Tribolium castaneum: one gene and its partner. Each later gene encodes a partner of the first gene's protein in a complex. Links are inferred from orthologs where the notes say so. Each region holds a gene or a part of one and is shown on either strand. Other genes may lie near its edges.

What was found. Proteins that work in one complex are often made in the same cells at the same time.
Region 2: the proteins of Dhdds (region 1) and Tango14 are in contact, whole or in part, in a crystal structure (PDB 7PAX), measured with the Homo sapiens proteins. The link is inferred for Tribolium castaneum from reciprocal best matches to the Homo sapiens genes DHDDS and NUS1. Residues at the interface, in NP_995583.1 of Homo sapiens: Arg37, Arg38, Glu81, Asn82, Lys84, Arg85, Arg159, His160, Ile162, Ser163, Val166, Arg167, Met169, Ala170, Trp171, Val173, Glu174, Pro180, Ser181, Ile183, Ser184, Glu185, Leu188, His199, Glu209, Val210, Arg211, Leu212, Ser213, Asp214; in NP_612468.1 of Homo sapiens: His137, Gln138, Pro193, Glu194, Lys197, Ala198, Ile200, Val201, Ala204, Gln205, Phe207, Cys208, Gln209, Val211, Ala212, Arg217, Pro218, Thr219, Leu221, Asp222, Val223, Leu226, Asp237, Pro246, Val247, Asp248, Ser249, Thr250, Leu251, Gly252.

The regions. Positions count from the first base shown.
Region 1 is NC_087399.1:8,505,701-8,508,673, forward strand, and holds Dhdds (dehydrodolichyl diphosphate synthase complex subunit DHDDS), read right to left. Parts: upstream 1,767-2,973; 5' UTR 1,516-1,766; coding exon 658-1,515; 3' UTR 639-657; downstream 1-638. Other genes in the region: rutC family protein UK114, read right to left, coding at 72-426, 474-535. UniProt on the Homo sapiens protein: With NUS1, forms the dehydrodolichyl diphosphate synthase (DDS) complex, an essential component of the dolichol monophosphate (Dol-P) biosynthetic machinery.
Region 2 is NC_087400.1:4,145,722-4,148,622, forward strand, and holds Tango14 (dehydrodolichyl diphosphate synthase complex subunit Nus1), read right to left. Parts: upstream 1,569-2,901; 5' UTR 1,423-1,568; coding exon 1,146-1,422; intron 1,096-1,145; coding exon 665-1,095; 3' UTR 591-664; downstream 1-590. Other genes in the region: arginine/serine-rich protein PNISR, read left to right, coding at 1-149, 227-468; probable dimethyladenosine transferase, read right to left, coding at 1,789-2,127, 2,176-2,757. UniProt on the Homo sapiens protein: With DHDDS, forms the dehydrodolichyl diphosphate synthase (DDS) complex, an essential component of the dolichol monophosphate (Dol-P) biosynthetic machinery.

The DNA of each region.
Region 1 (2,973 bases):
TAACGAAAATAAACAATTACAAACGAAGAAGAATTTTATTTTAATGAATGTGATTAAAATGATAAAAAAGATTAGATTTTAGATGGTATTTGTGTGACATCCCCCACGGCTGCGATGACTTCGATCTCGACTTTGGCCCCCATTGGCAATTTGCCGACCTGGAAAGTAGACCTCGCTGGGTGATTCTTGGTAAAGAAGTCTTTGTAAACGTCGTTAACAGCCCCGAAATCATCAATGTTATTGAGGAAGATTGTGGTTTTTGCCACCTTTTCGAAGGAAGAACCGGCTTCTTCCAGGATGTGGCCGAGGGATTGCAAGGCTTGGCGGGCCTCAGCCCCCGCGCCCCCATCCACCAGCTTCATGGTGTCTTTATTCAACCCCAAAACCCCCGACACGTACAAGGTTTTATCCAAGAGGACGGCCTGGCTGGAATTTTGTGTTAATTTTTCCCTGACTTTAATAATTTAACTTACTTGTAAGGGGCCACCGGTTTTGGGGCCTTGTTCGTGCTGATTATTTTGCGGATGACAGACATTTTCGGTTCAAAGTCTAGCGAGCGACTGACACGAGACGGCTTATTATCGGTTTGTTTATATTATATTTGAGATAATTAGTCACGTGGAAATGAAACTATTAAATAATAACGAAATAATTTATTCATGTGTAACTTTTCAGTTGCGTAATTTTTTGCTGTTGCAATTGGTGTAAAAACTTCTGGGCCCGCTCGCTTGTCACACGGGCTTTTTTTTGTTGTAAGTCGTTGTAAGACCTTTGGTAGTAAAAAATGCACGCCAGCAAGTGCCAAATGCAAAATTCCGGCCACAAAACTTTTGTAAAACTGATAAAACTGTTTGAAATTTGCCACAAGAGGAAATCACTGAATCGCACTTCCCCTGAAGTGCGCACTATCAGGTCGGGGTCAGGGCTACAACTCGTATACAGGGCCCCCGAGATCAAGTCTTCGTCAATGTCCTCCACGTCCAACGCCTCGTCTTGCACCCCCTTGACTATACTTTGCACCGTATTAAAAATTTCGTCCCTAGAAGTGTACGAAAAAGCCACGTTGAGAAACGCCTTGTTGTTGTCCTTCGTCATTAACTCAGCTTCCGCTACTAGTTTCCGCAACTCGGGGGAAAGCAGCCCCAAGTTGCCAATAATCCGAATGCACACCCCCTCGCTCATAATCTTCTCTTTTTCGTCCAGCAATTGTCGGAACTTTTCCGTCGCTAGTTTCATCAAAGTATCGACTTCCTCGCGACTCCGCTTAAAATTCTCGATACTGAAGGCGTAGACGGTCACTTCCTTGACCCCCAATTCGAGACACCATTGCAGGGTCTCCGCCAGTTTATCGAAACCTTTGATGTGGCCTTCGGCCTTTTCGACTTTGGTTTTGGTGGCGTAGCGCCGGTTGCCGTCCATTATGAAGGCGATGTGCCGCGGAATGGGACCGCATTTTATCACATTCACGCAAAAACGCTGGAAATAAGTCAGGGAGGAGCTCACAATCCACGACATGACAATATAACCTCAAAGGGTGACAGGTGGTCGGAAGTGACTACGGATTGACCTGACCTTCTTAATCAGCGATTCGCAGGGGGTCATTTACGACTTAATATATTACGAAATACTTGTTTTTAACAATTTTTACACTTTCCGTTGATAATTTTAATGATTTTGACGAAATTGTGGCCCATGTTATGTAACTCTAGCCACCGGTCACGTGATAACAAACTGCCAAAATTCCGATTATTTATTAGAAAAAATAGACTAATAATTATTACACAATAGCGCGTGACACAAGAAAATTGATGTTTCTGTATGTTTTGATTTTTTGTGTGATTATTGTAGTATTATTGTAAATCACGTCTAGAAGTCATCAACAGAAAACACTGACAAAAGAGTCTATCTCCAGAAACATTCACAGGCAGAATCTGTCAAATCTAGAGACATCATAAACAAAAATATTAAAAACAGAACAGTATTGATCCAAAAAAAAATTATTATTTATTTATTTATAATTATATTTTATATTTATATTCATATTTACAATTATATTTATAAAATAAATTAAAAAATTTAAAATAAAAATGGAAATTGTGAATAAAAATTAAAAAGTGACTTGTAAATATAAAAAATTTGGTCTGATGCCATTTTTATCACAATAGCATAATATCTAAAACAAATAAAATACTGATTAATAATTTTTTTATTTTCTTCTTACAATTTCAAAACAAGCTATCGAAATCATTACTAAAATCAACAAATGTCATTATTAGTAACACATATTATTAATATTTTCATTATAATTTTGACGAATGGTACTTGCTATAATGGGGTCTTTTTTTTCTATAAGTTATTTCCTATATATTTTTGATAGAATCATGTAACCATAGTTTAATCGCTATATTTTTTAAAAAGGATCATAAAAAAACATTCTAAAATGTAATCGGTCTTATTAGTCTACAATAAAATAGCTAAAAATGAAATAAATAAACATTTTATAGTTTGTTTTACATTTGAGTTTTCAGGATTTACTGTTATATTTTGTCATTATAGTACAAACTGTAGTACAAAATAGTACAATATGTTTTTCAATTATTCTCATCTAGTCGTCTGTGAATTTTCCATGTATTATCAGAAATGTCGTTTTGTAGAATTAATTAATGACAAGCATTTAAACACCATTTATTCTCCATTTAATAAGTTTCCAATTCGGAAATAAGCTCCGACAGTAAAATGTTTTCTTGCACAGTGTAACAATTTATTAGCTGTTTCAAAACTATAAAAACGGCAACGTCGCATTTTCTCTCAAAATTAACTAATATAAACTTATTTATGCACTCTAAAAGAATAATAGCTAATGTAATTTATACTTCCAATAAAAGAATTATCATTAATAAGTTAATAACTATTTTACAATTTTATCAATCTTATTTAAAAAAATAATTGACACATTCTGTCTTGATAATTTTC
Region 2 (2,901 bases), on another chromosome or scaffold:
CAAAAAAGCCGAATTCAGTAAAACCGAACGCGAAATCGAGGACAAGTTGGCCGTGGCTGCTGAAAGAAAACAATCACCGGTCACACGTTCCCCCACTCCTGAAAAAACAAACGATAATCACAACACACAGGTAGACGCAAAATCTCAAGGTCAGTAATTGAAACAAAACACTATCGGCACAATTACACGTGCCTACTTTGTGTTTTTGTTAATGTGGTGTTCACAGGACGGAAACAAACGACGAAAAAACGTGTTGTTCGTTCATCTTCGTCGAGTTCGTCGCGAAGTCGGTCGACAACACCCGAAAAAAGCCGACGTAAAAAACGCTACTCTCGAAGAAGTAGGTCGAGGTCAAGGTCGTCTTCGTATCGGAGGCGGAGGTCGAGGTCCAGGTCCAGGTCCCACCGGCGCAGCCGACGGTCAAGGTCACGGAGTGGTGGTAGGGGTAAGAGGTCGCGCCGGCGCTGAAGTGTTTCGATTTTGTTTTGTTTTATGTATATAAGTGTCTTCCTAGCAATAATTATTAAAGTGTTTAGTTGAGGTTTTAAGTGAATGTAACGATTTTCATTTGCTGAATAAATATCTGCGAGCCTTATTTATTGTTTTATTGAGTGTCGGTAACCGACAGTTTTATAAATAGTTTTGCACCTTAATTATTACAATTTTACTTGCCATATCTCTGTTCACACTTATTAAACCGATATAACAAATGAATAAAAGTCTCAAGTGTGATGTTGTGGTGCGTTTGCAAGGTAAGAAATTCAGTCACTCGAATTTGCCAGGGTGGGTAACCGTACAAACTGAAAGTTTTGCCACAACACACCCCCAAGTCGGGGTCAGGGAACTCAAACTGTTTTAAAAGTTCAGTTTCAAACTGTAACAAATCACTGTTGGCAGCACTGGCGAGTGTTTTCGTAACGTTGGCTATGGTTCCACGGCCGTCTTCCTCCCCCAACAGTTTGACGTGAATTTTGCGCCCTTTGTAGCCATTTTTATGGACAAAGTCAGGCCGGCTGTGCCAAATCACGTGATCCTCTTCATTTTTTTTCTCTTCGACAAGTTGACGTAACTTGTCTTCGCATTGCCGTAACGACCCTAAAACCGACCTTTGTGCTTATCAACTAACTGAGATAACAATATCGAACCTTTATAATCGTAGAAACTGATAAATGTGATCCGAGCCGACAAACACCACAAAATCAAGTTGGCCAAGTCTTTCACAGCCGGCTCTTCGTTGCCAAGCAACACGGTTAGATGTGTAGGGACTTTGGTGATTTTTTTGGGGCGGCTGTCGATCTCGTGACACAGAAAAATGAGGAGTTTCTGACGAAAAATTGATGCAATTATTTCGTAAATTGTGTAAATCACGTTCAAGGTTAGGTAACACGCGCGGTGGATCACAGACGGGGACTTTTGGTCCATTTTTACACAGATTTTTATTCACATAATAGCACGTTTTAAGGATTTTTTTAAATCTCAGTGAGTGCGAGATTAAAGAACATGAGACACGGTGTCATAAAAAGTGCCCCACCACTTTTTGACGTTTGGTTTGACAGGTGGAGTGGGTGGTGGCAACACTGACGTCACGATTTAATCAAATGGAACAAAAAAATTCAAAAATTACGACCCATATTATTTTATTTAAGTGCGCTTTTGTTTCATTTTGCATTTTTACGACCGCAATTATCAATTAATTTACATGAAGTTGATGATGGGGAGAACAGAAATCTGTAACGCACAATTCCTGCTTTACCGACACCAATAATAAAAGGAATAAAAAACTTTATTTCATGAAAAATGTATTCCTTCACTATTAAAAGCATGCAATAACACCATAAAATCATCAATGTCCATTGTGCGGGCCCGCTTTTGGTCCCCTTCTACTTGTTTCAAGACTTGCTCCACTTTTTCCTTAATATTAAAACCGGGGGGTATTTCTTTATTATTAACACTACAAAACGACTTGTAATTCTTCTCAAGCGTTGCCAAGACCACCGATTGTCTAAAAGCAGCTCCCAAAGTTTTATTTTTCCGCGAAAATGCGATTCTTGTAAGTCCATCCCACTCCGTGTAAGAAATAGGTGGCGGTGGATTCCTTGGTTCAATTCTAACCACAGCCGACTCAACCTTAAACAATACCAATGTTGCCACCCCAATTTGCCAATTAATACCAACCTTTGGTGGGGGCCTAAAATTATTTTTCCCCACTTTCATCAACATATCAACACGGGCCAGAAGCTGCGTGTTGATAGACAACCGACAGTAGAGCTTGTCTCCAGGGACGGCAACTAGCCGATCGGCAAATTCCTTTTGAAACATTAAAACAGCACACCGAAAAAACGGACGGTGCAAAAGTAGCTTAAACACTAAAGGTGACGAGATTTGATAAGGGATATTAGCCACGCAAACGCTAAAAAAGGGCAATTCTGTCTTCAAAACGTCCCCAATCAGGATTTGGAGTTTGGACTTGAAAGGGCTATTCTGGACCCTTTTTTGCAATTCTGCCACCAGTCGATGGTCAATTTCACACGCGACAACCTGTTTAACACTTTCGAGGAGCTTTAAAGTCAAGTTTCCGGTCCCAGGGCCTATTTCAAGGACGGTGTCGGAGGGCTTAAGGGCCGCCTTGTCCAACATTGAGGTTATGACAAGGGGGTTCTTGAGGATGTGCTGACCGAAGGACTTGTTGAATGTGATGCCTTGTTTGGCCACAGCGGCGTGAATACGCGATTTTTTCTCCGGTTTCACTTTTGGCATTTTGAGGTTACTGTGACACTGACATGTGGTCACACAAATTAAACTTTAAAATTGCACTCAAGAGACACAAAGGGTACTCCAAATTATGTCACTAAATGTATTCAAAACGTTCAAAAATCAAAATATGGGTTTATTCAGGAATTT